4 linked regions of the Lepisosteus oculatus genome follow. The protein of the gene in region 3 interacts with the protein of the main gene of each other region in a pairwise test. Links are inferred from orthologs where the notes say so. Each region holds a gene or a part of one and is shown on either strand. Other genes may lie near its edges.

Region 1 (8,236 bases), on a different chromosome or scaffold from region 3:
GCCAATTAAATCTCTTCTCAGACTCAATATGCGCAGAAAAAAATACACTGAAAATTCCTGGTGGATCTCATCTTTTGTAACAGAGCCAAATAAAATGATCTGCTTTATTTATTTAAATTTAATATTTTAATGTCTTGCATCTACTTGATAGATAATGATAAGAATACTTACTCTAACAGCTTTCCACCTGAAAATCAACCTTTCCTTGTACTTCATGGTTACTGACAGAATTATCTTGTTAAAGAGTGTTTCCTTTTGAGACATACATATGACATAATGTAACAAATGCAGTAATCAGGAGTGTAACGCAGCTCCTGAGGCAGGGCCTATGGAAATGTCTAACACTTAGTGACACATTTTTAAGTGCTCACACAGAAGAGTGGGACATCATACAGCTAAAGATAAAGATAAACATCAGATAAAGATCCAATACATGCAGACAAAGAGGCACTCCAATGCCTCTGGAAATGAAGATGCTGCGATGGACCCTCGGCTGTAGAAGACTAGACCATGTCATGAATGAAGGGGCGCGATAAACACTCACTGAGAAAATGAGGGAATCGCGCCTGCGACGGTATGGACACGTGCTCTGCAGCAATGACACATCAATGGCAAAGACCGCCCTCGAATTGAATGCGGAAGGCCGCCGGCCTCATGGACAACCTTAACGCGCTGGCTGGACTGGCTGAAAGACGACATGGGCCTCGCAAAAGTCTCCTGCCGAGACGCCGCAGACCGTACGAAGTGGAAAAATCGGTGCAAACAAGCAGACCCCACATAAGTGGGAAAATGTGAGGAAGAAGAAGAAGAATACATGCAGACAAAGATTACATACTTTTGACTCACCTGGGTGACATGCGGCAGCCATCTCACACCAGCAGCCCCACTACACCGATCAGACATAGCAGTGAGAAATTGTTCAAGACTGAATTAAGAACTTTAGGTAGGCCAGACTGGACAGACCCATAGCAGAACTTAGTCAGGAACCAGGAATCAACATCCCTTCTCAAACAGCACTGTGGCACCTTTAATGGTCAAGTAGTTTTGTAACAGAGCCAAATAAATTGATCTGCTTTATTCAGGGTTTAAGGTTTAGGGTCTCATTCAGAAAATAACACCTCCTGCAGCATGGTGGAGGACTCCATACTGCAGCATTGATCAAGAAACTTTGGAAAGGGAAGAGCACCACCTACTGGTCCACCAACCAAGCTACTGCTGTGAATGCTGTTTTCTCATTTTATACGGACCAGACCAAGACCTGTATTCTGAGATCTGTTGAGATAAGGTAACTCGGCCCAACTATAAAAGGTAATTTAATTAAAAAGCCACTCGCCAAGAAACGTGGTAATTTACCTTAACAAATACCGTATTTTCCAATAAGGTTTATTTAAAAAAAACGATTTTTCTTATTAAATTGATTGTTTCTTTGTTACCACCAAATCAGACATGTGGTCAAACGTCAGAAAGGTTCAGGCAATTCACCTTGTCATTCAAACAAGCAACAGGTCTTTGAAACTCTAGTTCTGCATATACTGTACGAACTTGCTAGCATACCTTAAATTGTTATGGTATTTGCATAACACATTAACATTCTTAAAGCTTTAATTTTCGTCCAAGAAGCTTATGTTCCTAGGCGTCTGCAAAGCACTAGGGAAAAAAAAAACCTCGCCTTTGAATTTGCACCATGCCGAATGCAAATTATTAAGTATTGATCATGATTTGAGAAGACGGGGGGAAAAGTAAAGCTCAACACGTCAGATAGAAGCAAAGGATTTCAACACACTGTTCTGAGGCATGGTTTATTCAAAAACCAAGGCTTGTTTTGCCTTTGCTTCTGAGCTACAGGCGGTGTTTGGACAAACTGCTGACGCACAAATAGGCTTCTGCGCATCTTTTCCTTCCTGCAGCGGCGCGTAATGCGTCTTATCACCAGCGTTCAGCATTTGGTTTTGGACTCTCCAGCCAAGTAATTAAAGTGACTGATGACAGCAAGGCAGTTGTGCTGATAAGGTTTATGATACTTATTTTTGTTCAGCATATGCGATACAAATTTTCATTACAAGAGCCCACGAAAGAAGGAAACCGTTCCACCTCGCATAGCGCAGTTGAACATTCCTTAAGATAAATTATCGGGTGCAATGTTGCTATACCTATTATCACGCCGTTACAATGCCTAAATAATTCAAGTTTCTATTTTTAATTTTATCTTCTGTGTAAGACTAATAACTATCCAAAACTGGCGCATACATTGATTTTAATGTAGAATAGTAATACCCTAAACTTCCTGAAGAACTAAAGGAGATGCTTTCAGTATCTGCTTCGGTGCCAAGGACAGAATAAATAATGAATTCGCTCACAATAATTTATTTAAAACGTCTGAATAGTTCCTTTCCAGAAAATATGGAAAAGAAAATTACCCTAAGAGACATGTACATAAGCTACAGACGACATCGTTCACTGCAGGTGCGATATCTCCACCTTGTGGTTTCGCTGTTATATGACGCGAGTAAAAAATCAATTTCCCTCTGCCCCGCACATACAAGAGCTAGTTATATAGTATAACGTGCCAGAGGAAATTGGTGATAAAAAGAACTAGGAACCGCTACACCAGTTTATAGTTCAGCTAATATGACTCATCAAGAACTTTGTCTGACAAGAAGTTACCAATTAAATACAGTACAACAGGCAACAGAAGTGCAGAAATGACATTACTGATAGTTGTCTTGAAATATTCCATATCCCGTTTCTTTCAAAGCATAAAATCACTTCCTCGAAACTGCATATACTCTATAATCCTTATTTGCTTACGCGTACGTGTAAAGATTTTAAGTATTTCAGTATTAACGATTATTCAGTAAATACGGCAAGAGTATTCATATTAAGCACAGATGTATAAGTTCCCACCCTTCTTGGAACACGGAGTAAGCAATCTTCACAAACAGTAATTTTCATCGAAACTCACACCTACCTTCTTCAGAATGTCTTCTCTTGCCTTCCTTTTCAACTCTTTCTTCTCATTGAGGCTGTTGGCACTTTCAAAACTACCACCGTACGCCGCCATGACGATGCCGCAAACCGAGCGGCCGGTTAATCCAAGGCCTTTTAAACGGTCGTAAATACATTACGACAGTTGAAGCCGCAACAGTACATAACGCACAGCTGCCCAGAAGTTATTATATACATAAAATGAAGTGGTCTGGGAAGAACCCTTTGAGCATTTTAAAATGGGTGTAAGGGAGTGTTCGCAGCAAAAATATGAAAGCGGTGCGGACGTTATTTTTATTTAATTTGTTTAATCTTTTTTCATAACTTGAATTTATGTTGTAATATGTACCCCTGACGATCTTTTTGTCTTGAGATGTTATATGTGCTCGTTTGTATTTTAATTTGTGTTATTCTGTTATGCATAAATTAAAAAAAACAGCTGCCCAGAAGTCAATCTACGGCAATAACTGTACAGTATTTGTTTTGTGATTACGTCATTGGATTTAGAAGGGTGCGATAGAAGGTGTAGCGAACATTGTTTTTATTATGCCAGAGGTCATTTTTTATTGCACTTGTGATTTTGGAATCTGTTCATACAATGGTCTTGGGTCAAAATGAAAAATCTGCCATATGACTTGATTATGTCATATGTGAAATTATAAACCTTTCAGGAAATGGGAGGTGGTGTGGACAGACCTCATGCAAAGGCTAAAGATCAGCTCGGATCGTTATTTAATAAAATCCGGAGTTGTTACTAGAAAGTCTAGCCATGTTAAAACAGTACAATTCATACACGTCATTGCTTCACTTTGTAATTGTGCACAAGAAGATCTGCTGTTAATATTCAAACAATCCTGGGCAGGTCTCTGTGCTGGGAAACATGCAGCCAAATATTCTAGTGCCAAAAATTTGTCCCAGCTTTTGATCAAAGGCCTATTACCCATTAATAATAACGCAGATGACTGGTGCAGTTTAGGACATAGTTTCACCTGAGACATCACAATAGTAAAAAAGAGTATAGTATACATTGCATTTTGAGATTTGTAAAATCAATAAAAAACTAAATACGAACTTACTGTAGAACAAATGTAAAAGCAATTAAGAAACTGCTGCTATGCGTCAATTCTACGTTTTCAAAGTACAGAACATATAAGTCTAGCAATGCATAGGGAAATGGTATTCAGCAAGCCATATTAAAATTGAGACATCAGAGGTAAAGATCTTAAGCAACTGCATATTAAAGCACAAATGCTAAGGTTTAAACTCATCAAGCTTTCAAAATAACACATCGAACCTCGGAGTCCGTAGTATGATATCCTTTCCAAAAATGGTGCTTCCTGATAAGTAAAAATCTTTTTGCAGAACTTTTATTTTCATTAAATAAAATACATTACATTGAATTACTTCATTGCATTTTGAATTACTCGATAACGGCCATCATAAAAATCACACTAAAATCTTTCTTTTTGGCTTCCTTAATATCACATTTAAAAAATCATTCACTTTTCTTCTCTAATATTACACACCAGTTCCCTTGATCATAGTAACTGGTCTGGATTGCAATGTTCTCCACTTCTCCACACAAGCTCTCCAACTCCTCTTCACAGAAGACGTGGTAATAGCGGTGAAAGATGGGGCAGATATCTGCAGATCCTAATGATTTTCCCACGTTTTTGTCCCTGGGAGCAGAGCTTTTCAGATGCCAGGGGACAAGCAGGTCCTGGGAATGGAACGCAGTTCTGTTGGTGTGAACGCTCAATGTTGACATGTTTTGCCGAGTCAAAGGACAATCTTTGACCTCCTTCCCAGCAGGCCTGTGGTTTGATGCCAAAGAGGTGCTGTGTCCTAGGTGGTCCGCTGTTTGCTCAGGTCTTTGCGCAGAGCCCTCTTCTTGATTCACCTTTTTCCCCTTCAAGTATTTGGACTTCTGCTTGTTATATTCCTGCTCCATTGCCCAAACATAAATAAGTGCCTTTCCCCCAGGCCTCAAAAGCCTCACAAGTTCTTTAATGGCAGCTAGTCTTCTCTCCTAAACATGAAACACAATTAGTAAGCTCAGTGAATAATTACATTTTTCTGCTCTGTTCTTTTTTAATAGCCAATACAAAGTAAGCCCAGGGGAGCCCTAGGTAGGGTAGGTACATTGCAGAATTGTTTAATGCAGAGTGAAGAGGTGGCAGTGTTCCACGCCCCAAACTCCAAAGTTCTCCCTAATACCTGTAACTGCAGTGGAGATTAGCCAGGTTGTATGGTTTTCCAGTGAGTATTCTAAAGCATTCTGTTGATTGAGTACTGAGTATTCTAAAATACTATAAGGTAACACCAAAACACTTTCGTGCTTCACAAGCCTGTCCATTTCAATGGCTTTAGAAGAAATAAACTTTAAAAACAGTGAATACCTTTTTATTAACTTTAAATACCTTTTTATGTCTATCCTTTTATTCCAGAGACTAAAGCTGAAGTTAGATGTAACTTTTCTCTTCAGAAAAGGTGTGGTTTGGGAAAAGATTAGATACAGTAGGCAAACTAAGGCTTCGACTTGTTTTCTTCTTGAACTGTACTGAATATCTCCTACCTAATGAAAAAATGCAGCCTACTGCTTTATCTGAGATCCTCACTGATCTTCAGCTGTTTTTGTAGCACTCTCCTGCTAGCCTTTTTTCATCAAGTGAAATTTCCTATGAAAAGAATAACTAGGAGAACCATCCAGAGCCGTTGTGTCCTGCCTGCTCTAGGTAAGAAGAACCATGAGTGTCTGCTGACCTTAGTGGAGAAGTGGTGAATGACGGCGATGGAGATACAGGCATCACAAATGCCACTGCGAAGAGGCACCTCAAGAGCATCTGACACCAGGACCTGGAAGCTCCTCTCTCCGCAGATATCCACCAGGTTCCTGCTGCGATCACAGCCCACCTGCGAAAACACAGGAGGGGGGCAGCGGGGCATCAACAGCAGCAAGGGCCAGGAGCCATGTCAGAAAGGGATGAGCAGACTGCACCCACCCCGACACAACCAGGGCCATCTCAGTCCCCATCCAGACAGCCAGTAGCCTTTATAAAAACCACCACAAAGGGGTTTCTCAAAAAGCAGCATCACACTGCGTCCCAGAAGATTCGGATCGGATCCTGTCTGCAGCCACCTCTGTGACTCTTGAACAAACAGTGACATCCTTTGAAGGTCGCTGAAAACACACGTAATGTGTCTGTGTTATGCAGAGTTTAAGTCAAGGGGTGTTATTGTGGGCCTTTCTCCGTGAGCATATCATCTTTTTATATTTTGTGGCAGTATTTTTTATTTTGACACGTAAAGTATCTTATTTACGTTTTCCAAATGCGTTTTGAGGTAACATTTGAAATATTTAAAAATGTGTTATCTCATGCATAATTCAACAATGCACCAGTTACAAGCAAAGAAAAAAAAACATTTTGGGGCACTATGAGGAGTGTACACCTTTAAAAGGTAAAGGCAATGACAATAGCTATCCCCACACATTATTCTGGCTAATTTTTAATAAGACATGATTTACACCAATAAATCAATATCTGCTTTACTGCTTGAAAGACACAGTAAAAGGCAAATAAAAACAGAAATTTACAGAGGATGCCATGTTTGGTGCTCAAATATAAAAAAAACTTATAATTTACGATAATATTTTCTTTTAAAAAGTGTCTTCCACAGTTAGGGGTTCTTTTGCACAAAAATAAAGCCTGCAGCTTGCAACATTATCTTATCCAAACAGACGAAAGGTCAAAATTATCATGGAAAGACAATTATGAGCTATGAGCTAGGGCTTTGTCACTTACAGAAATTGTGTTACACATTTTGTTCGACCTATCCTAAAAAAATGCTTTCCTCCATAGTTGTATAACAAATACATCAAACAGTACCGTTTTTAACAGCCAGTACATCATACTTTCCTTTCCAATACAGATTTTAATATAATATGGAATTGAATCAAAAAGCAAAGTGTTATATAATACACTTGGTTTTCTGCATATAAACATGATCTTATCTAAAAGACAGAATACTTAGGACATATTCAAAGCTGTAATCTTTCATCTGTTTATCTTTTTTTTTTAAAGATGTGTACTTCAGGAGCCCACTGTCTCCCTATACCATAAGGGGACGAGCAAGGACACTGCAAATAATTTGGATTATCAGAACGTTAATACTAATCAATGTGCAGATTGTAACTTTTATGCACTTACAAATGCTACTTTATATTCTTTTCTAAATGAAGATGATAGTCTTTCAGCTCAGCTCGATGGTTTGTTCCAAACGAAACCTCACGAAGTAGTAATATATATGCTTTGGCGACAATGAGGAGAACAGAGCTGGGTCAACAACCCGTGTAATTCACTCAAATCATACAGCTCGTTAACACAGAGTAGAGGGGCTTTCCGTAAAGTATCATTAAAACTGCAGATCTACGGACTGTCTTACCGCAAACAGGTCCTGTTTTAACCCCAGGTACTTTCCATTCCCACAGCCTACGTCTGCCAGGATGGCGCCAGTGGGCAGAGACTGGAGGAAGTCTACCACCCTGGGCCAGGGGGAGTGCCGGGTGCTGCTGAAATGGCTGGCGATCTCCTCGTACACCTTGTGTACAAACTCGTTCTCCAGGCAGGAGGCGTCGCGGTCGCTCTGAGGGACAGAGGGGCTGCTGGGATCCCCAGGAGAGCTCTGACTGTCGCAGACCGAGGGGAAGGCTGCGCAACAAGACGCCAACAAATCAAAACATTCCGCGCCGTGCTCCAGTGTCAACACCCTGACTTACAAACAGAAGTAAAAGAGTATTGTAGAACACGTGTCGTATTTACATCTCTCCTTTTTGTCATTGCCAGCAGCCATATCACCCTGCAACTCACAACTGGAAACCCACTGAAGCTAAGCAGGCATAAGCCTGGTCAGTACCTGGAGGGGAGACCTCCTGGGAAAAACTAAGGTTGCTGCTGGAAGAGGTGTTACTGGGGCCAGCAGGGGGTGTTCAACTGGCGGTCTGTGTGGGTCCTAATGCCCCAGTATAGTGACGAGGACACTATACTGTAAACAGGTGCCGTCCTTCGGATGAGACGTAAAACCGAGGTCCTGACTCTCTGGTCATTAAAAATCCCAGGGTGTTTCTCGAAAAGAGTAGGGGTGTAACCCCGGCATCCTGGCCAAATTTCCCATTGGGCCTTACCAATCAAGGCCTCCTAATAATCCCCCTATGAATTGGCTTCATTACTCTGCTCTCCTCCCCACTAATAGC
Region 2 (7,595 bases), on a different chromosome or scaffold from region 3:
TCTGGGTCAGGTCCTCTCCCAGCAGCCCCTGCAGCCTCTGGCCCGAGCCGTCTCCTGCAGCTTCCTTCTTCAGCTGCTCGGGGTCATTCAGATTGAACTCCCGCCTGTCCTCCGGCTTCTGATAGCTGTGCCGGAACTCATCAGTGGCCCTGCACAGCTTTCTCACATCCGTTTTCTGCCTTTGCTCCAGCAAACAGGCCACCTTGTCAGCGCAGATGAGGTCTTCGGCTTAAGGAATAAACATAAAGGCATTAATAACTCTGAGTGTAGGTTCACCCATTTTTTCTTTTCAAGATATCTGCTTTTACAAATGTAAGTTCCCTGCATGCTGGAGCATTGAAGATCTGTATTAAAGATCTTGCATACTGTATGTTAGAACCCACAATGAAAACCACACACAGTTCTACTGAATCAAATCATGATTTCTTTATTGCAATAAAGAAAGGAGGACAGGCAAATTTAACAGGTTATAACCTCGTCCCTAACTCGCTTTTTCAAACAGAACAACAGGCTTTTGTTGTTGAAGATGAGCAAAATCTAATACATTTTTATGATTGGTCAGTAACAGTTTGTTGCCTTATAAGATGTAAACATGGTCAGAGAGTCAGGCAGTTAGCTCAGGTCAGTCGTGGCAATAAACCAAGACCCCTCTTCCCTTCTAAACTTGAGTGTAGGATACATGAATTACAGTGCATCTGCATTTAAGAGACCTTGGCTGGCCTGAAATGTGCCAAACAATCCAACAATTCTTAAACACTTCATTGTAAACTCCTAACAAGGCATGGGATCCTTCACATAAAAATAAAAAAATAACATTACAGACTTCTTACTTCCTCTTTTTATAAATTCCTTTTTTTTTTTGCACATTTCTGCACTCTTGTTCTCTTAGTTTACCACTTTTTCGAATGCAGGGTGTTACGCCACGCCCCCGGAGGATTCGTCATTCCACCTCGCATTCCCGCACGGTTCCCAATTAGCCCATTTACCCCAACCAATTTAATGCTGCTTCATACTCTCCCCTGTGCTCAGTAGTCAGGTTTTTCCTGGCTAGAGCTACTTCAATTCTCCCAATTAATTACTTCTTAGTTTTTGGCTTCCTGACCCCGGTTAGTCTACGTCTCTTGGTTTTGTTTTGCTACTTTGAGTATTGTTCTGGCTTCGACTCTCGGCTTCCTCGCGGCTTACAGCTCCGCTTCTGATTTTTTACTTTTGCACCGGCTTGTTTACCTTCTGCTTTCGGACCTCAGACTGTTAAATCAACTACGCCTCTGGAGTTCGTCCTGGTTTTTCTGCATAGGGTCCTCATTAATATTCCCTAACACAGGGCTGTGGGGGAGCAGAAGCCACACCTGAAAAGCAACAGGCTACACCCAGGACTGGACTCCAGTCCATTGCAGGGCACATAATGACACACACAAGCACACACTCACACCAGGGCCATTTTCCCCAGCAGCCAATCAACCTACCAATATGTCCAGAGCAAAAGCTCATGAGTACATGGGGAGAACATACAAACTCCACACAGACAGCAGCACCCCAAGAATTGAACAGAGGGCCCAGTTCTGTGAGGAAGCAACGCTAACCACTGCGCCACCACACCAGCTGCAGACTTAATATTTTTACATTGTCATGTCAGAAACCTGTACTCACCGTAGGCCTTCAGTATCCTAGCTTCTTTGTCTTCTTTTATGTTCTTTTCCTTCACTTGGAAATCTAATGCTTCTTTATCCACCTAGATATTTCAAAATGAAGGAACTGAGAAAAGGCATTGCACAGGCAGACTGGCACTAAATTGTGTTAAGTATTAAAGAAAATATCAGTTATTCTACGTTGAATAAAGTAGAATGATCTGATTTTATCGAAATGCTCTCCACCAATATAAGACGATCCAGATGGATTGTTGTGCTAGTCCAAGGTCATTTCTGCAATATGAAACATTTCTGATAAATGTCTAGATACTATTATCATAATTCATTTAAAATGCGGTACGATGTGCCACGCCTACCGCGTTTTAACGCGGCGTACTCCATGCATTTTGAATTGCTGGATCTGTAGGTAGATTTGATCAGATTAGTATGCAAAGCCATTTACCAAAGAGGGTGTGAGAACAGTGATAAACCAGTATACTTCAGATCTTTTTTTTCTGAACCAGGGAAAATCTGATCATGTTCCTCTATAACAATAATTACAAAAAAACGTTATTTTATGTACAGTAGCACCTTTGAAAGTAAAATCTCAAGTAGAAACAGTAGGTGTAGAAACAGTAGGACCACAGGTTACAAAGTAAAAACATATAAGAAAGACAAGCGGTTAGAAGTGCCATTGAAATGAGCAGATGAAGCAGATACAGACATGTTCCTGAGGAGAGTTAATGTATCATTATACTGTATAATACGTTGTCAATGCACAATACGGTGAACAATTAGAAAATAAAAAATCGTGATAATAACACGATACAAATCTCGTTTATTAGATAACGATATTCAAGTATAAAACATTAAATAAGTAGATTTCCGTTGTTGCAACACTAATGATACAGCACTGAAAACAAGTGTGAAAATAACTATAAAGTTACACCTTTTGTGGGTAGAAGCGGTTGATGTTGGGAATCGCTGGGTTATGTACAGTATATGTAATTTAAAAATACAGATGTAAATTTGTTCATACATATTCAAGCTTAAGAAGGAAACAGAAAAAACATTTATAAGAAATCAAACTCAATCTAATCGTTACATTATTTTGTGTGCTGAATAATTTTTGATCTACAGGATATCAATCATTCACGTATTGCGAAAATAAACTGTTAAAAATTCAAGACATCTAGTATAGAACATATAGAGCCCCTTACTCCAATCGTTCTGACTTTAGCGTTGAAAATCCTATCTTGCCGTTGAACATCTGCGTTTCGTCTCCTCTCGAGGTGAGCGGCTTGAGTACGATCCGCTGGCAGTTCCAGTTTGTACATCTCAGTTTCTATTAATTTTTTGCACTTCTGCTTACTGCATGAAGTTCGCACAGAATTTGTGTGTGTGTGTTGGTCTCCGTGTACTCTCCCGCGACTACTGTACACAGGCTGGTTGCTAGGAAACGAGCCTCGAGTTTCAGCGTGGGTGGTGAGCTCCCCCTGGTGTTTACTGTATTTTGTCATCCTTGTACGGGTTAATAACCAGAATACTGCAGCATAGTTTTAAGATGAGTGGACAATATACAGTATATTTGAGTTATAAAATAAACATTTCCAAATGTCGTATGATAAGACTTTACAAATAAAATAGAGCACATGTAAGTTTTCAGCTTTTAACAAATGCGTAATTATAAACAATTTCATAGTTATGCAGCCATGGTAGAAGCCCTGTGCAATAATAATTAAATCACGACAGCTAAAGCACTCCAAGCCTGTACTGTCTTCCCTATCACCTTTGATATAAGTAGTAGAAAACTACTAAAGTTGACTCCAGAAGAGGAGAGGGAAGACATTGTGTCCTTTTTTTAAACCGTGGTGAGTGACCCGCCAACCAAATAAGTTTTATTTCTGAGAGACAAGATCAAAGTTATTGTACTATAACTTAAGGAGTACTGTAAACTATCTAGAGTACTATAAAGCAAAGCATACTGTATGTTTGTTTAGAAATGTGGAAAACAATAACTGTTTTTCAAAACATCTCGACATTTCCAAATAGTGGAACAAGTAATAGGTTTATTCCATGCTGAAAAAAAGAAGAAAGAGAACACAACGTTTCGGCCGTGGAGCCTTTTTCAGGTGTGAGAGAGACAGAACAGTAGGCAAAGGTAAAGTAGCGGGAGAACAAAGGTTGGGAGGGAGGAGGAGTGAGAGGCGGGAGCAGGGAACAGAAAGAGAGGCCAATCAAGAGGTGTGAAGTGAGAATGGGTGCAGAGAGGTGTGAAATGAAACTTCCAATGAATGGAGAACATTTAAAAGAACAGTAGTCTGTTGTTAAGAGAAGGGAGAATGTGTGATCCTAGCTGCAGAATAATTTTAGTTTCGGTGGTCTTTCTGATGTATGAGTTCGGAAAACTGTATTTGAGAACACAGACGGAGAGATTAGAGTGGTCGTAACCTTTGCCTACTGCCCTGTCTCTCTCACACCTGAAGAAGGCTCCACGACCGAAATGTTGTGTTCTCTTTCTTCTTTTTTTCAGCATGGAATAAACCTATTACTTGTTCCTTTGCAGCCTACGCATGCTGACGCAGCTACCCACCTGAACTATTTCCAAATAGTGCTTACAATGTCCTCTGGACAGACAATAAACAAAGGACCATATGGGGAAGATGTGGTGAACAATGGGTCAAATACAATGCCTGAAGACGATAATTTCATTATTAGGATTTTTAAAGCTGGGGCTTCATGCTGGCACAGTGCTTAAGCATTGCTGTCTCACAGCTCTAGGGACCTGAGTTCCATTCCTGGGATGCCGTAGGTGTAGAGTTTGTATGTTCTCTCCATGTTTCCGTAGCTTTCTTCCAGCTCTAGTTCCCTCTCACAGCCTAAAGACATACTGATGGCTTCTGGGAAAATTGGCCCTGGTGTGAGTGTGTGAGTCTCTGTATCTGTATGTGCCCTGTGATGGACTGGGGCCCCATCCAGGTTGTATCAATCCTTCTGCCTGTTGCTTGAGTTAGGCACCCCCCAAAACCCCACAACTCTGTATTAGATAAAATAGTTAGAAAATGGATGGATGAATGTTGAAAGCTATATTTATAATGTCCCAATTAATTTCCTGATCTAAAGAATTAAAGTTCTTGTTCCATATTAGTAAGAGTTGGAATGAAAAATCTACAGAAAAAGCAGAGTAAACCAATTCCTTTCTTTTGTACCAGTAGATTATAGGTTAGGTGTGTAGACAGCTTCACTGTGCAGGGGGTACTAGAGCCATGCATAGCAGAATGAAGATGCAAGAAAAAAGAAAGAGTAAGCGTGTAGCTTTTATTGAGATTGCAGGATCTGGAAGGAATTCTCATTAAAAATGTCTGCTAGAATAATAAACATCTTTTCAACCCAGAGTGAAAAAGAGAAAGAAAAGTTTGTGGTTATAGAAAATAGTAGGAATCCTGTGTTTTCTGGAATTTTGCGACCACATTTTTGAGCAAATACCAATCATATTTAGTTGTGTAAGACTGGGGCCAATTTTAGTCTATAATATATAAGTTGAATGCTAGAATAAACATTTAAGTTTAAGTGGGATGACAACATTATCTGCAAGGGGACAACTAGATACTGTATATCTTGTCTTGTCTTGTCTAGTGACAAGACTGCACCCGTGTTTGTAAATCAAAGGTGTTAAAAAACAGAATGTTTGGCAGAGCTTAGCCCTCTGCCTACCCAGCTCTACCATGTTGAGACATTTCTCAATGCACTGAAGGGTGTGAGAGAGGAATCATAGAACTAAAAAAGAAATAAAAGCACCTATTAATTTTAGACCTTGATAGAGCACCAAAAATAATGTAAAATTGTAACTGAGGCCGAGACTGGGAGTTGTTATCTTCATACTGTGTATAATTATTTATCACATAGCTATATCAAATTTTAACAAAAGAACTGTCAGAGTAGATTTAATAGTGATGGACAGTCTGAGTTACTTGTTCCAAAAAGTAGAAAAACAACAAACTGCGCACCCCTGATGTTGTATTAATTTGGCCATATGCTCTCCAGCACAATATCACTTTAATATATACTGTAGCTTGGCATCACATAACCCACACAAACTGTGGCTGATTTTTCATAAATATGGAAAAAATAGCCATATTAATATGCTTCTGAAATTAACTGTTCTCAAAGTTAGTATACCTTTGCTGTATCATTTCAAGCTGTACTGTATAATTTCAAGCTGAAGAAGGCCAGAATCAGGGTAAAAATTAAATAACTTTACAGAGGAAGGCTAACAAACCCAGGAAACTTTCTCATGTCTCCTATTTCTCATGTCTCCCAGGAAGATACAGGGATATAGATATTCCCAATACAGCCAATGTTTCAGAAGAAGTCAGTTTCCCAAACCTCATACACTTGAAAATGTCAACCTGTATAATTTAGAATATAAAGGGTGAACTATGGAGTTTATCTGTATGGGATCTGACAATAACACCCTGTGTGATGATCTAAAGACAGGAATATGTGAAAAGTGTTCATTGCTGTGATGATAGATGAGAGATGAGAGATGCTGAGAGATGATAAGATACAACCTTGAGGAACTCCTGTGCTCCGGTTGATTTGCTGAGAGATAGTATCCTTCAGCTTCACCAACAGCTTCCTACACCAGTAGCCAATAACTCAGAGTCTGGTTAATACCTACAGTATCTCTTCTAGCTTATCAAAAAGCTTAAGAAGGGTGATTGTGTTAAAAGCAGAACTATAATCAATAAATAGGATCCAGGTATATGTGCTGGGTGCTGCTAGGTGTTGAAATACATCATGGAGCCCCGAGAGACTGCACAATCCACTGACTTGTTTGCTGTTTAGGCAAACTGACATGGGTCCAAGTGTGCACTGGACAGGAAACTATGAGCTGCTCAAACACCTTCATAATGACAGATGTCAAGACTACTGGTCTGCAGTCATTGATGGAGTTCACAATGGATTTCTTAAGTACCGGTAATATACTAGTCATCTTAAAACTGTGCGGTACCTTTGCCTGCTTACGAGAGAGATTGTAAGGTAGATCTGTAAAAACAGGAGGAAGTTGACTGGCACAAGATTTCAGTGTAGCTGTTGGAATAAAGTCGGGCCCAAGTGCTTTTCTTGTTTTGTGTGTTGAACCTACATTAGAATTGATTCAGCTCATTGCCACCATCTCAGTTTTTACAAGCTGTAAGTACTGTTCTGTTGACTGCTCCAGCAGTGTGGCTACCACTTGTCTCCTTTTCCAGGAGAATCACAGTCTTTTTTCTCAGCTGGGGAAACAACAGTCAAATAATCATTTTTGTTGATGTGTTCTAATGGAAAAACAGCACAAGGATGACAAAAACAAAGGAAAAGCACTTAGCAGAAGCTCTAGTTCTGGGCTGCTATCCCAGCACACTGGTCACCTGATTTCCCCACAATTAGTTTATTACAGGATTTGACAAATAAATTGAGTCTCCCTCTCAAGTCAAATGGCCAATGTCACTTGGTGACCACATTGGTATGCACATCTCACTCTCAGCCAAGACTTAATCTCCATTCAGTTTTGGACATACTCCAATCCCTGAGCACCTTCCAACAATAGTAAATTCCACTTTACCAAAGGAGAATTCAATGCTTTTGGGAGCCCCGGATGTTTCTACACCATTAATAATAATAATAGCTTACACTTTTATAGTGCTTTTCTAGACACTCCACTCAAAGCGCTTTACAGGTAATGGGGACTCCCCTCCACCACCACCACTGTGCAGCATCCACATGGTTTTGCCAACAAATTATGTTGTTTTACTGCTCAATCAGCATGCATTTACCAAGTCATGAAGCCACAGTGTTTTTTTTTTCACAACAGGCTATGGTTCTGATGGCTTCAAAGCAAGTTGAAAGCATTGCAAACAACACTTACCCTGTTCAATCAAAAGATCGTCCTTCAAACCCATTTGCCTATCGCAGGATAAGTAT
Region 3 (7,665 bases):
CCAGCTCTAGATTTGGGGCAAGAGGAGGCTTCTTAGACTCCCTTCAAAACAGAAGCAAATAAAAACATTTAATTGCCCCTGATTAGAGATGTATGACTACTCACTTTCTCCCAAGGCACGTCTCCAGGACTCTCCCATCCAAATGTTTTTTCCACCTTGAGGAATTACCAGAGTGACTAGATCTGAGGCAACGACTGTAGCACCCTGAAAAATCCTTGGTTTGTAGGATTTGTGTGAAAATAATAATGAGACTTCATCGTATGTTGTGTGTGTGGAGGCAGGGCTTTAAAAAACAAATTAGTGGAGTGTTAAAGAAGTCCCTCTTATTTAACTTCAATTAACAAGAGGATTAATTTCAGTTTGTTTGCTGTCTTTGTCCTCTCCTTCTTTAAAAAAAACAGAACACAACAAAACAAAGAAATACAATAAAAAGTAGCGTCTCTTGGTCTCTGTACAGAGTAGCACTAGTGGGCTGTTTGGTCAGACTGACAAAGAGCTTTCTCATTGGTCACTGAGTGGGGGGCTTGCCAGTTTGTCACAAAGCCAGGCGCGAACTGGATGTTAACAACTGGTTGATTCAAAGCAAGCGGGGCTCTGCTTTTCATAAAAAAAACGTAGGTGTGAGGAACCAACTTTACAACCATGTTGTAGTCAACGATGTTTGGATCTACTGGAAGAAACTGAGCCATCTTCTTTTATTCCCAGGTGTCCTAACATTCAAGCCCACGGAGATCGGTTTTCTGCTCTTATACAGCTAGTGCATGAAGACAAGTCCCATTAGTTCATTGTAGACCCTGATCAACTCTTTCTATTAAATGACACCACGTCGTTACTGATACTAGGAAGAGCACTTCTACAGGTGCCGTATTAGCCTTTTTAAAAGGAGAATGTTCTGCACAATTACACCCATATCTGATCCATCTTTTAAAATGTTTTCTCAGGGGTAAGATTCGGGTAACCATGCCTGTGACACTGTGTGCTGACTTTGATCCCTGACCTCCCTGCTGACCTTGAGTGACAGGCTGTGGAAAATATCCGGTTAAATCAGCCAGCAATCTATAAACCTACTGGAAGCAATTAGACAAGAACAGCTCCATGATCAAGAAATTTCATGAAACATGAAAATTCACTGCCATGAATCTAAGTCCAGTTCAAAGCAGGAATTGTGCAGACAGTAATATTAGTTTTATTATCAGTATATATTAGAGCAGGGAGCTATGTCTGGATGGCTCCACAGCTCAAATGTGTATTTTATTTATTTTTACTGTAAGTGTGAAATCCTGAATTCACACATCAATAACATAGTTTTCCGCACTGTTTATCATGGCAAATAGATACATAATTGTTAACAGCAAAAGAATTGGCAAATGTATAACATTCCCATGTTTCCTGAAAGCCATTCTTTCTTGGATAAGTGTCTTAAACTGAACAGGCTATGAGGGACAGGGTTTGAGGAGAAGCATAAATTGGAAGGTTGTCTCCATTTTTTTATCCCACTCTTTTATGGGAACTTTCTCATTACAAAAAGGAGGCCTAGTAGTCTATGGAAGAGAAAGCAGTCATGCAGTTCAATTTGATAGGGGCCTGAGGATTAATAACCCCCATTAAGACAGTGTGGGCCCCCCTGAACTCCATGCCTTCACAGGGACAGACTACATCGCTCACGCACAGCAAGATGAACAATACCTCTTTCTCCCTTCACCCATGCCTCTTCTTTCTTCCTATGCAAGGGGAAGGAAAAGCTCGTTCCCCTGTAATGAGAGCTGTGGCATTATTAAAAAACCCTTATAAAAGCTTTTCCAGGAGGTCTGTCCTTGGAGTGTTTACAGACAGGGGGCTGGAGGCTCGGTTCAGGGCTGTTCCGGCAGCTCATGGCTGGTCAGACGTTCCCAGAGGAGCTGCTAGGGTGAGCTGAAGGAGAAAAGGAGAGGAGGAGGGTGGGTTACAGGAAGAGACATAAAGGGATGGCCAAGATGGAGCTGTTCAAAGTCACGTTGAATTGGAAAAGGGAAATTTAACATCATTCATACACACCTGTGTTCGGGGAGAGATCCATGGTCCACTGGTTTTGATTCAAATTAGTCTCTTCTATTCATCTATTAATTGACTCAATTAACGAGTTAATTGTTCTAAATATCCACTTTTCCGATTTAGGTACCGATATGTTCTAGAAACCTGATGGGACTGTAAGTCTTTAAAACCTGGAAAAACACTGTCCTTGATCTATGATAACTTTTTTATGATTAAAGAATCAGTTTAAGAAAGCCACTGAATGCTAGGCTTCATTTCTGCACTGAAAAGATCTTATATGTATTGTTCAGATAATTAGCTTTGGTTTCTGTGAGTAAGATTATATTTTATTATAAAAGATTATATTTTATAATTTTATTATAAAATTTTAAATTTTAAAATAAATCATCCAAAAATGCTGTCTCAGTCCCACAATCCCCAGAGAAAAACACTTTTTCGAAAAGGGCCCCAGGTTTCTATGACAACTGCTGCTAATCAATTCGAAACGGACCCCATATTTCTCTAAGACTCGAAAGTCACAGAGTCATTAAATGGATCTCCCATCTTACCCCAGTTCTTAACCCCGCCCTCCACAGCCCAGAGCTTTCTGCAAAGGATAAATCTGTCGGAGTGAATGCTGGAATTTCAGGCCCAATTCACACGAGAGGGAGGAGGTACAAAAGAGATCATTTAATGTCTTCTTACCATCCTGAATAAGTTGACCTGTAGAGTAAAACCACCCAACCAGGATATGAAGTACTACTTCTTTGTCCTTCTACTACTTGCCCAATCTATCTATCTTGTTATAGTCTCGTAAAGAAACATTTATTAAAAATTCAGCAGCTGCATCAGAATCATAAACATGTTTTTGTTCAGATGTTGTGAGACTTAATGCTCTTCAGCAGGGTCTGTAAACCGGAGGTAGGACATGGGCTGGTTTGTGATGAAGGAATTAGAATATGTGTCTCAGATCTTCAATATTGTTGCTTTTTGAATCCTGTTTGTAATGTTGATAGGTTGGCATATTGAAATTGGACAGCAAGCATAACTTTTCTTTTTCTTTTTGGTTGGAAATACAAGTTCTGCCTTTCATAAGCAATTCTTTTAAATTAATAAATAAGATATTGTAATAAATAATATTATAGTAATAGTGACACACCTGAAGAAGGCTCCACGGCCGAAACGTTGTGTTCTGTTTCTTCTTTTTTTCAGCATGGAATAAACCTATTACTTGTTCCCTTATAGTAATAATATATATTTTACAACAGGGAAGCTAATTAACTTGACAGCTGCTTTGATGTTGCTGACTTAAAAATGTACAAATCGCAGCTTTCAGAAGAACAAGAGAAAAGTAAGATTCAGGGCAGGTTTGAAAGTCTTGCGATGACCGCATTGTTCTTGTGCTCTCTCTTTCAGTGAGCACCATGGTTGAACGTCAACACAGACCCAGCGGCTCACAGCCCCTGAGCCTAGAATGGTTTTTGTAGCCTCAAGTGATCTGCGAATACAAGGGTTGCGCTCAATGGGATGGTAACCCATTGCTGTGTGACACCCGAGCAATCATTCAAGTCATTGTAAGCAGCAAGGTTGACTGGAGACAACACAATTGGTAGAAAACATTTTCAGGAGCCCCTCAACACTGTTTGTGTGCTTGGCTGATCCAGTGATAACTCCAAAGCCCAGACCATTTTATAGTGACCAGAGGTCTTTGTGTTATTTAGAGGGCCAATATGTCATATGCCAATATGACCAAGAAAGGAAGGACTCAGTTTTTACTGTCTTACAGTGCTGACAGATATATGGAGTTTTCTAACGAGTGGAAGAGAAGTTTACTGTACGCACTCATGCTCACACCAGTGCAAAGCTACTGGCAGCTGAAGTGCACAAGAGCAACACAACACTAGTGATGTCGTCGCACATCTCAGATAATTGAAAACACTGACATTTATTTAGATTGTGTCAGCTGAGGGGAAGATGAGAGGTGCTTAAAAGGTGAAAGCAATGACAGTCGAATACTGTAGTTTGATAGTCGTAATGGACACACAGAATGTCCTTTATGCTTGGTTAGTAGGCAATGTTAATTCTTAAATTAATCCTAAAGGATGTACAGTAGCTATAGCCATACTGTACTTAAAGTGAAATTGATTTTTATCTTACTTTTCTTGGCTTTGGCCTCATGCAGACAAAGGTAGATAAGTTCTATGACTAGGAAGGACATTGTAAAAGAGTGCCTACACCTTTGCCTACACCTTTTTTTTTTAAATCTTCATAAAATAAATCCTTGCAAAGTGTTTTGTAGATGGCAGTGCTTTACAAAACTGCGGCGAGAGTCCAGTGAGTGTTATTTCCAGTAAATCCCTTGGACGCAGTGTGCAGCCACACTGATTAAAACCGTTTTGAAAACCACAGTCCTGCAGCAGAGTTGTTCCCTACAGTGCACAGGAGTACTTCAGGCGCTCATTATCTTTTTTTTTCCCTCCTGAATAACATTCCAAAACTCCAGCTTGCAGAAAGCGAGAGAAAGCCAGGAGAGTTTCAAGTTCAGTAGACGAGCACAATGGCTGGCAAGTCCTAGCTGTGGTGCTCCCCCTCCCCCTGCCTCTCTCCCCCTCCTGTCTCAAGCCCTCCTGCTCAGGGTGGGGGGGCGGAGGACAGTGTCTATAAAAGCCGGAGAGGGACAGAGACCATTTCATTTGCTGACTTGTTCCATTTCCACCGAACACCATGAGCACGAACATGGAGACCCAAAGGGTGGTGGCGTCTTCTTACAGGAAGAGGTTTGGGGCGTCGGGGAGCGGTGGAAGGACATCCCTGTCCTCTGGCCGATTCGCCGTCCACAGCTCTCCCCGGCTCTCGCACTCCAATGTCACGGCGCGCCGCAGTGGAGTCGTCCTGGGCTCCTTCACGCCCGACAAGCTGGACTTCTCCCTGGACACCGTGCTCAAAGCCCAGTACAAGGAGACGCGCACCAACGAGAAGGTGGAGATGATGGAGCTCAACGACCGCTTCGCCAGCTACATCGAGAAGGTGCGCTTCCTGGAGCAGCAGAACAAGGTGCTGGTGGCCGAGCTGAACCAGCTGAGGGGCAAGGAGCCCACCCGCCTGGGCGACATCTACCAGGACGAGCTGCGCGAGCTGCGCAAGCAGGTGGACCAGCTGAGCACCACCCGCGCCAGGCTGGAGATCGAGAGGGACAACCTGGCTGAGGACCTGGCCCACCTGCAGCAGAAGTAAGCTGGAGTTTCCCCTATCAGCATTCCCAAAGCCCCGAGCGTAGTCCTTTCAGATTCCGGGGAGAGAATAACAGTACGGCGGCTCCAAGGATCGCTTTGGTGCCACAAGCAAAAGCCTAAATCTGGAGTCCAGCTACTACAAGAGATAGAATAACTGTCTCCAGTTCAGGCAGGATAATTCATTAGCCATGTCTCAAAGGGCCTTATAAATTGGCCCACAAGTATAGATCAAAAGTAGATCTATAAGTGTGTGCCAGGAATTGAAAATATACTTTAAGACATGATTTAAAAACGTACAGTATAGTCAATATCCCTTAACAATGAGCTGGTATATTGCAATGTGCAATAGAGTGTAGCCTAGGTTAAGAACAATGGGGAACTCGTAAACTATAGAATAAAGTCACCAAGGAGAACCTGTTGGATGGGTTGGAGAGCAATACTCTTTAAATCTTTTATAATGTAGTGACAGAGTTATAAAATATGTCCCAAATTTAAAATGCAAAGAATCCAGTAGAGGAGTTATGCCCCATTCAGTGCTGCTGATTTTCCTACGTGTCGTCGTGTCTGAGAGTATGCTTAGTGTCAGGCAAAACTGATGTCTCCTCTTGCTAGAGCCTGTACACGCAAAATAATTAGGAGTTTTTCAGAAAGTTTTTTTGTGCTCTCCAGGACAGGAATATTTATAACTTAAATGTTTATAAATTATTTTGCTTGTGTTCTTCAAATAAAATTCTTCTAAATCTATGCACAAAATAAAACAGCATCCTATATAGTATTATCATATGCAGTATAGATTTGAGCTGGTTTTACTAGGACATTCAGAACAGAAAGGAATTCAGAGTACAGTTTTGGAAATTGCCCTGGAAAGATGATGTCTGCTGACTAAATCTTATCCTTACAAGCCAGAGTGAACACCGAGCGTGAGAGTGTGTTTGTGTTGTGAGTGCCAGTGCCTGCATTTGTAGATGCAAAATTAGTGTGACACAGCAGGGCAGAAGAACTAGGGTGGAATTAAAAACTTTTTCAGTTTTACATCACAGATGTGGTGCTGCTGGAAATGTTTTGTGTTCAACTGACATTCAAAGCAGTTGGAATGTAGGATATTTTGATTCCACTGATTTTGGTATTCTTCATACTGAAGGCTGGTGTCCTCAAACTATTGAAAAAGGGTTTTATTGTCATCAATTAAACTGTGCTAAACTAGAGATTTCTGGTAAGATGGGGTTTGCAGATAGATATCATATTTGTGACGGTTATACAGATCTTAAAACCTTCAAACCACTGTTAGCTTATTCAGTGGTATGGATTTGCTGTCTAAAGGTGAAGTGAACTAAGGTTACCTAAACAGGGCTAGAGTCATAAATCATAGTCATTTGCGACAGTTTTCTCAAGAAAAAATAAAATTAACAACATTACCTGTGACTGTGCACCTATCAGGGATCTGAGGAGATGGAATCAGTCATGCCGCTTTTATTATATTATAATAACCTGTAAAGTTATAAATTTATCCACTTGGATCACTAAGCTGCATGAAGCCTGAAATGTACGGATTTATAGCCTTGAGTTTACTAGCAAATAAACCTGATGGCCCATTACTGTAGCTGCTTGAATTTCGCAATATGAAGTCGTTTGGAGAACAGTCGAGTGAAGGAGCCCCCTACATTTTATTATGTACATAGGCTTTTCACTGGGCCCCACAAAGAGCCTGACTGTGAATTAAATTCCTCTTTTCAGCCTTGCTTGAAGTGACAGCTGCACGAACTCTTGCATTCATGCCAGTACTTAAAGAAAAGCTTTGCTCTTGATGAGTAATAGCTGTGATGGGTTCATGCATGCTTTCCCACCATTATTAGTGAAATCCATCTCATCCTCATGTCACACAATCAGACCTGTTTAATGCACTATTATTCTTTTCCTTGTATTTATTTTTTCCCTTTGAAGTGATTAATTAATCTATATTAATTGCTCCTTTTTTACTCCCATAATGGATTGGTAGTCAGCTTGGTTCAGTTCTATAACCTGCTTTACCAATATAGAGGAGATGAAGGTAAGTCGTGTCTGTAAATGGCACTGAGAGTCCCACAGTGCAAACAGCAATGCTAAGATAAACATTTGACAAATGCACATGAAAAATAAAAGTAGTTAGCCTCTTTTTGCCAGATAAGCAAACATTTGACTGTTGTCATCCAAAGAATTCCTTTCCTTGAGGTTATTTGCACAAGGTGAGAAAAGCTCTTCTGCCATTTGTCAGTTAAACAACAGTACAGTATAGACACTATGAAGCATCTCCAGATCCCTTTCCAGCTCAACCTCCTTCCTCCAAAACACCATGGAAAACAATGGAAAACTGAGACCACAGTTCATCCCACACCTCTGCCTAATTTATGTCTGTGCCCAAAGAATGGTGCATTCTGTCAGAGAC
Region 4 (8,186 bases), on a different chromosome or scaffold from region 3:
TTAGTTATTGATTATCATATGAGCTAGAGAGGCCCAATGGCCTCCTCTCATTTCCTAGGTTTTCCTTGAGTTCTTATGTCAGGGGTTTTCAGCCTTTTCTGGTTGGGGGACACTTTTTCAATAAATCCCTTCTTGTAAGGAACCCAAATTTATGCATAAGCAACTGTTTGCCAAAATGGTGCTATTTGTTACTATGATTTAAAAGCCAAACCTGCTGGTGAACAGACCCACTGTGTAAGGTTTTACACACTACTAGACTGCCTGGGGAAAACCTCTGATTCCTGGAACCCCTTTGCCACACTCGGAGGATCTTTAAGGGCTGCTTTATGTTCTGGATTGGGTAACAATCATATTCACACATTCGTTTTATTTGTGGGAAGGAATTCTAAAGTCACTTCCTACCTCTGGCGTTGTACTTTTCTTCTTTAAGTTGATGTATTGCTCCAGGTCGGTTCCCTTGGCTCTGTGCTTGGAAGAGTCAAACACCTTCCGGCGGGAATTCTGCATTTTCTCACAGACTCTACGGTGTTTCTCCAATCTTTCTGCTGCAAATGTCCTGTTGCAGAGCGTGCAGGGCAACAGCTGCGAGTTCCCTTCCTGATTGTACGTCGGTCTCTGCTCCGCCTGGGGTGCTTCTTCGACAGAGAGTGGAAAACGTCTTGGTGATAAGTCTCCGCTCCCCTGAGGCAGCCTTTCTTCAGCACAATTTCCATTGCTCATTTCATAGCTTGCTTGTGGAATGCGGCTGTCCAGAGGAATTGGTTCGGCATGCTTCCCTCGATTCCTGACGTGTGTTTCATATCTGTAGGGCACATCCTGTGACTGGCCGGCGTTAGAGGCCTTTTCATGTTTCTTGAAGTGTGATGGAGCAGAACTTGAGTGATTGAGCAGAGATTGAGTGTGAAGCTCTGTGTTATTTTCAATAAGAGGCAGGACTTGAGTTTTTCTTCTTGCATCGACCGGTTGCTTGTCCTGAACTGAGTGTCTTGAGGAACTATAGGGCTCTGCAGGCACACCCCTGCCACTGGCACTGCCCAGGTGCCCTTTTGGAGCACCATCGTGCTGTCTCTCCTGAGCTCTCCTTTGCTGGGCCATTTTTCCTCTCTCCTCCCACTCCTCCTCTTCGTCAGAATCTTCCATCTCTATCTGAATCCTCCTCAGCTCTTCCTCGGTCCTTTTCAGTTTTGCCCTGAGCAGGAGCTCCTTCCTCCTTATCTCTTCCGCCAGGTTGGCCTCTACCTCTGCTAGTCTTCGTTGTTCCCCTTGCAGCCAGTGGAGACCACTTAAATTCACCCTGGAGGAGTTTTCATCTGGGGAGTGGGCCACATCTAGAGGGGATGTCTTATCCCTGGGGATTCGTGCTCTAGGGTGTCTCCTGTCCACTTGCAAATGACTCCCTTCTGGGTGATCTGCAGGCAGAGAAGGAGCCACTGGGATATTCCTCGGTGCTCCTATAGGCTTCACAGCCTCAACATCACCTGGACTGAAGATGTGATTGAGACTGAAGGCTTTCCTGTGGTACACAGGCTTCAGTGGGCAGGACCTATCCACCCCAGCTGTCTTCTTTCCAGGGGCAACGTGATGGAGATGGCCATTTCTGGGCAGATTCCCAGCAGATCTATGTTCCCTGTGCAGGCCAGTTCCACCCCTGTTGTTCGCCATGGTTTGCAATGCAGACTGCTGGTCGTGCTGGGAACCAATCCTGGCTTTCTGCAGCACGGCCTGCTGTTGCTGCCGGTACAGAGCGATCAGCTTCTTCTCCTTCTCCTCCCCAAGTTTCTGCTGGAAGTTGCTCTGCAGCAGCTGTAACTTGGACGGGTGCAGAGCTGGGTTCCGTCCACCGGGCCTCAGGGGTGGAAGTTTATCGGTTTGCATCTTTTTACCGAGGAAGGGGGAGCTCGAGGTCTAAGATGTGGTACCATTTGCAGAGGAGACAGGCAGGTTATTTTCTTCCAAGTGTCTGATTGGGAGTGAAATGTAATGATATTAATGTATACCTACAGTGAATACAGGAAAAGGCCTATTCTTGAAAAAACCACATACACAAAAAAAAATTATATTACATATTAAACATTTTCTTCACCTCAAACAACAATACATGCATCATACTTTTAAGAAACTATAAAAATGAGGTAGCTGTCCTTCTGGCAGAAGAACCATTTGTGTTACAATGTAATTATCCTGTTTGCAGATTCTCCTAAAGACTATAAAACGACTAAATGTTGCACACTGAGTTTTAAGCTTAAAACGCAGGCTGGATGCAACGCAAGCATTATGCCCGTTATTTTCAACTGGAAATCTATATTCAGTTTTGATCATAAATCACCCCCGTGGCCAATGAAATTCGTTTGTATTTATTTCCCAGCATCCCCGAGTGAGACGTGACACTGGTCGTTCATTCAACATTTCTTCGGCTGCAGACGTGGAAGAGGAAAAAACAACATATATTTCTGGGCAAAACCTTATAAATAATTCAGAAGTCACTGTATATGACACATTATATATTTACTTACACGACAGTCCAAAAAAACGTGCTAGTTCATCATAATTTACTCACCAAAAAACTTTCTTTGGTTTTGTCGACAGATTTCTGCTCTAATCCTTCGTCAGAGCTCTGGGGAGTTTGTCACGATCTGGCGTCCTTTGAAAAGCATGAATAAACACTTGCGTGGCAGGGTTTTCTTTCTCTCCTTAACTTTTTGGGTTTGTTCACTGGTATCTTAAACCTGCAGTTAAAACTGTTATAGAAAGCCGACTTTAAACAGCGCTTTTTACAAAAAAAAAGTAGGAGAAAATCCCCCCTCGTATGGTTTTATGAAACTTTACAGTCTCCCCTTGAAATACAGTCACCAAGCCTGCAAAGGCACAGAGAGTGACGAGTTTTTCCCCGAGCTAAAGTGATGCCCTTCACAACATCACCCCCAGCGTCACAGTAGGCGAGCCCTTTGTCCTCGCAGGTCGGTCATCAGAGGGTATTCTCCGGTAAGAGTTTAACAATAGGGTTTGTTGGCATGCGTTGCCTGGAAACCGGGAGACGCCACGGGGTTCCTTGGCATCGTAACATTCAGTTGTCAAGGGGCTCTGTTTGTGATTGGGCGCAGACAAACCACGTGGAAAGTCATCCGGAAGTTGTGAGATGCCCCGGATGTACCGGTCTGGATTAAGCCCTTCGTTTTGAAAGAGATGCGCTATACATACACACATTTGTCGTATGGGTGTTTTTAATACTGGTTAGTGATATTTTAATGTGTGTGCGTGATTTGTCTTTCGTGGTTGCTATTTATCGTAATGTGAGTATATGATGTTTCGTCTCCAATGTGCAGGGATAGCTCGGGCAAATCATGAGGCTATATCTAATGTTTAATTATGTTGGATAATAGATTGAGACATATGATGAATATGCTAGCGTTTAGTTGATCTGGGATGAAGACGAAGCTTCGGATATAATGCCCCTAATGAGCTCTGCCCCCTGATATTTAAGAGCGATATAGAATTCAAACATCCTTTTAGTTTTGAAAAAACAAGTTTGTTTTTTTTTTATTTCGAACGCAAAATGCAAAATAAAAGTTGATCTGGAAAGACTTCAGTCCACGCTGAAATATTTAAAATGTACTTCTACTGTTCCTGACGCTGTGTTTTTACATTATTTTGTCTAGGTCTCTGCCATGTCCGGTAAAGAAGATCTGATTTCAGTGGATTATGAAATCTATGGCAGAGTGCAGGGTGTTTTTTTCCGAAAGTACACTCAGGTAGAGCCCTTTCCTTTATTTGTGTGTGTTTATTTATGACTAATACCAGCTTCTCAATTATAGAACATCTAGTTAAATTCGGCGATCGGAAACTCGGATTTCATTCGCCCACCCAACACAGGAAAATGAAAATGAGGCTTGAGGCAGCACAGGCATGATTGTCCTGGGAATGTAAAGCCCTTTAAGGATGGGTGTGACGGTGGCAATGCAGTTAACAGTGCTGCCCCACACTTCCTGAGCCCTCGGCTTGCTTCCTGCCCAGTATGCCTGTGCCCGGTTTGCATGTTCTGCCCATTGCTGGGTTTTCACCCTGGGACTCCTGTTTCCCCCCACAGTACAGATTTATCTATCCTGTCCAGATTTTTTGGAGTATGGAAATCATCCTCCGAGTTTGTGTGTATACACATACCTCCTGCTCAGGACTGGCAGCTTGTCTAGGATGTATCTGGTCTTGACCTCATTGGCTGTTCTCCAGCCCTGTCTTGGATGAAGACATTGAAAATGCGTGGACAGCTATCATTCAGTTGTGCTTCCCTATGTGGCAGTACAGTATATACTTCCTATTGGGCACTCTTAGTGAGTTGCCATAGCAACCACAGAACAGCCGTCTGCTATAAATGTGCATGTGAGATTGCAATCTCTTTGTATGCATGCTATACATATATGTTGTGTTTTGCTGTTGCTTCTCGATGACTATCATTTAAATATTTTGTGGCACATGTGGGCATTGTGTAGTGTTTGTGCCGAGCTGAGAAATTAACAGTACCCAAGTCAAAGTACAGAATGTGTACAGGATAGAACCACTCTCTTTCCCAGTTAATGAAGTAATCAGTCGCTGAGAATTAGGTATGGAACCTGGAGCTGGGTTCGACAGCCCTGGGTCTCCGTGCGCGCACAATCTCAGATCAGCCGGTCCGGTAGCAGGAGTGTGCTGTATTTCTGTGTGGCTGCCCTTCCCCCAGGCTGAGGGCAAGAGGCTGGGCTTGACAGGCTGGGTGCAGAACACCAGGGAAGGGACAGTGAGAGGCCAGCTCCAGGGACCCGGCAGCAGGGTGCGAGAGATGCAGGAGTGGCTGAGGAAGAAAGGCAGCCCCAAGTCCCAGATCGCCAAGGCGGAGTTCTCCAACGAGAAGAAAGTGGAGAGTCTGGATCACAAGGATTTCAGGATCGTCCGGCCCTAACCTCCCAAATGTGATGTGTTTTTCTGTTTTCTTTTTTATTATTATTTAAAAAAAAGGCATAAACATCTTCCTAGAATCAAGATGTTTGGTCATTTGGTTTCAAGATGTCACTGTGTTGGAATGCTTTTTTGTAAATGTACTGCAGATAACATCAGTGAAGGCTTAAACTGCTAAATACGCATACCGTCTCCAAATCTGAATCTTGTACATAAGTGCTTGAGGATGTTTTGAACATTCTACGTTCCCTCTGTGTGTTTATTAAATCCCTATTTATTTTGAAGAACCATTTGTGTACTGTTTAATTTTGTTAATATAGTTACTGAGAGGGCAGCTTAATGACGGTACTTTGTAAAAAATACGCTAGCCCTATGTTTATTTTTGAGATGTAATCATCAACTCAACAATTGGTCAATAAAATATGCATCATTACAAAATTGAGTCTTTCGAGATATTTCTCAATACGTTTATGTCCGAAACGTCAAAAACTGTTCAAATATGTTATATTATGAATTTTATTTTGGTAAGGTAAACCGTACATAAGAAATGGATACCGATAATTAAAAAAAAACCCTGAGACTCGAAATTTGTATTTCTTGCGGTAGGGGCAGCAAAGAGCTGAACACAAACGCTCGGGCCCGGATGCGGATGTGAAGACATACAAACAATACCACGCAGGATGGATTAGGATTGCTCTTGCTCTGTGAATGTTAGAAATTAGAGTGAAATTAGAGATGGCCTGCATTTCACTGTCCACGAATGCTGCTTTTAATTCGCGCATCACCATAGTAACCGGAAGCCATGGAAACGGACACTTTGGAAGGACATTCAGCTAGAAAAAAGTCAGTGTAAATTATTTTTTTAAATATGAAGAAGAACAAAGTTGAAATACGGTCTTGTCGATGTCACGGCTGAATGTCGTTTCCCCTAAGATAATTATAGCACCGTTTTTCTTCCCCCTCTTTCAAAAGTAGAGTAGTAGTTTTGAATGGTTGGATAATAGGTTTTAGCGTGCGTTTTGTCCAGCACCGTAGTGCGTAGTTTTGTTTATCAAACTCGTCAGAATGTTATTTTTTAACTTTTTTTTTAAACCGTCATTGTTAAAAGAATAGTTCCCAACATGATAAGAGGGTTGAAGCTGTCAGTCTGCGATTGTTCCCGGCGGCAGCCGGGAATCTCAAATTATAGTAGATGGCGACAGTAGAAACTGTTATGAAACGGCACCCTTGATGTAGAATGTAAAATTTATTAGACCGGGAGTTAAGTAAAATGTGTTGGAAGTATTTATTTGCAGAAAAGTCCCATTAGGACGGAGCTCCGAATTCCTCTTAAATGTGCAGAAATGTCTGACGGGCCTAGGAGCGCTTGCTGAGATAATTTTTACAGCAAAGAGGCGGTTTAGGTTTCCGATAGCGTCAGAACTATGATTAGACGTTTGTCCGAGGACGTGCAGGCGAAGCTTCGCTCTGGGATAGCCATTTTCTCACTGACGCAGTGTGTGGAGGAGCTCCTGCTCAACAGCATCGACGCTGGGGCCAGCTGCGTGGCTGTGAGAGTGGACATTGAGGCGGGAAAAGTGCAGGTTCTGGACAATGGCTCTGGGATGGACAGGCAAGACCTGGAGCAGGTGGGCAACAGGTACTTCACCAGCAAGTGCGGCTCTCTGGATGATCTGGAAGCCCTGCGGTTTTACGGATTCCGAGGGGAGGCACTGGCAAGCATAGCCGGCTTAGCCACCCTGCTGGAGGTCTCGTCAAGGACCCCAGAGTCCGTGAAGACCTTCGTGAAAGTGTTCAAGAACGGGAGGGGCTTAGATGTGTCCGAGGCAGCAACCACCCGGCCCGCAGCCGGCACGACGGTGGTGGCCTGCGACGTCTTCCACAATCTGCCCGTGAGGAGGAAAAGGCTCGACCCGGTTCTGGAATGCGAGCGGATCAGGCAGAGGATCGAAGCAGTCTCCCTCATGCACCCCTCCGTCTCCTTCTCTCTGAGAAATGACTCCACCGGATGCACGGTGCTCCAGCTCTCCAAGTCGCGGGCCACGTACTATAGGTTCACCCAGATTCACGGACTGGGCAGAGCTCAGAAGCTTGGGGAGATCAGTCATTGCCACAACCAGTTTGAAATGAGTGGCCACATAGGGCGTGAGGGTCACTACAACAACAGCATGCAGTTTCTCTACGTAAACAGCAGACTAGTCTTGAGAACGCGGATTCATAAACTCCTAAATTTCTTACTAAAGAAGGTGAGAGTTGCCAGCAGGCAGAACAGCATCCCCGTTGTGTCCATCGCTGTGCACAGTCCAAAGCAGAGGGGTGGTTCAGAGCTCCATGGGGTTTATGTCATTAATATTAAGTGCCATTATTCAGAGTACGATGTGTGCATGGAGCCTGCAAAAACACTCATTGAGTTTCGGGACTGGGATGGTGTGTTGCTCTGCGTGGAAGAAGGAGTCAAAAAGTTCCTGGTGAAGGAGAACTTGGTGGCTGAGGTGTCTCCTGAGGACATGAGTGAATTTGTCCATGAGAACACCTTCAATGACCCATCGGCCTGGGCCGACAGTACTGAAGGAGGGCCTGGCGCTGGCAGTCTTAAACCCGCTTCAAGCTGTACTAGGGACCCAGGTGAGGGGAAGACTCTGCAGTCTAAAGATGTGCACAGAGCATTGGCAGTGGATTTCAATCTGACAGGAAGTGTCTGGCAGGCAGGAGATGAAGATGACACAGCAGGTCAAGGTGAAACAGAAATTAGGAACCCCGAATCCACATGCCCCCCAGAAAGTGAAAAAACACTTGCTTCCCCTGACTCACACAAAGTCACCTCCTCAAGTTCAGAAAGCAAAGAAATCAAAATCACTGAAATGCTTGGCTCTGCATCAGTGACACCTAACACACCGACAGAAGCCAGAAGAGATGATGAATCTTTGACGGACGTTTCTGACAGGGACTTGAAGGAAGAGTGCAGTGGTGTAGCACAGCTGGGGCTTTCTGTCTCTCTGTGCTCCAATAGCAAAAGAGCAAAACTCAGTGTAAATACAAAAACAGCAAAGGAACCTGAGAATCACTGCCTTAACTTGATAGACAATCGCAAAGAACCTGAGAAAAACACAGAAAGTGTCATTTCCAGGGATGTGCCCCCTGAAATGCCTCCCAAATTCCAAGAAGAAACACCATTTGACAGAAGTAGCCTGGGACATAAAACAGAAAGAGCAAATGATTCTAGATCAGTGCAGTTTCAGCTGGGTTCAACAGGGTTCATA

The links.
Region 1: the proteins of gfap (region 3) and cwf19l2 interact in binary tests that used the Homo sapiens proteins (3 or more experiments, as listed by UniProt). The link is inferred for Lepisosteus oculatus from reciprocal best matches to the Homo sapiens genes GFAP and CWF19L2.
Region 2: the proteins of gfap (region 3) and ribc2 interact in a two-hybrid assay, tested with the Homo sapiens proteins (2 studies listed by BioGRID and IntAct). The two-hybrid records come from large-scale screens. The link is inferred for Lepisosteus oculatus from reciprocal best matches to the Homo sapiens genes GFAP and RIBC2.
Region 4: the proteins of gfap (region 3) and zinc finger C2HC domain-containing protein 1C interact in binary tests that used the Homo sapiens proteins (3 or more experiments, as listed by UniProt). The link is inferred for Lepisosteus oculatus from reciprocal best matches to the Homo sapiens genes GFAP and ZC2HC1C.

What each region holds. Positions count from the first base shown.
Region 1 is NC_090700.1:10,207,770-10,216,005, reverse strand, and holds the start of cwf19l2 (CWF19-like protein 2), read right to left. Parts: upstream 3,096-8,236; 5' UTR 3,062-3,095; coding exon 2,969-3,061; intron 1-2,968. Other genes in the region: alkbh8 (alkylated DNA repair protein alkB homolog 8), read right to left, coding at 4,481-5,014, 5,749-5,898, 7,429-7,694.
Region 2 is NC_090702.1:9,010,397-9,017,991, forward strand, and holds the start of ribc2 (RIB43A-like with coiled-coils protein 2), read right to left. Parts: upstream 3,068-7,595; 5' UTR 2,966-3,067; coding exon 2,849-2,965; intron 1,733-2,848; coding exon 1,651-1,732; intron 229-1,650; coding exon 1-228. UniProt on the Homo sapiens protein: Microtubule inner protein (MIP) part of the dynein-decorated doublet microtubules (DMTs) in cilia axoneme, which is required for motile cilia beating.
Region 3 is NC_090723.1:1,941,602-1,949,266, forward strand, and holds the start of gfap (glial fibrillary acidic protein), read left to right. Parts: upstream 1-4,622; 5' UTR 4,623-4,734; coding exon 4,735-5,240; intron 5,241-7,665.
Region 4 is NC_090703.1:8,490,367-8,498,552, forward strand, and holds the start of zinc finger C2HC domain-containing protein 1C, read right to left. Parts: upstream 3,035-8,186; 5' UTR 2,558-3,034; intron 1,961-2,557; 5' UTR 1,876-1,960; coding exon 403-1,875; intron 1-402. Other genes in the region: acyp1 (acylphosphatase-1), read left to right, coding at 3,246-3,290, 3,657-3,749, 4,712-4,930; DNA mismatch repair protein Mlh3, read left to right, coding at 6,351-8,186.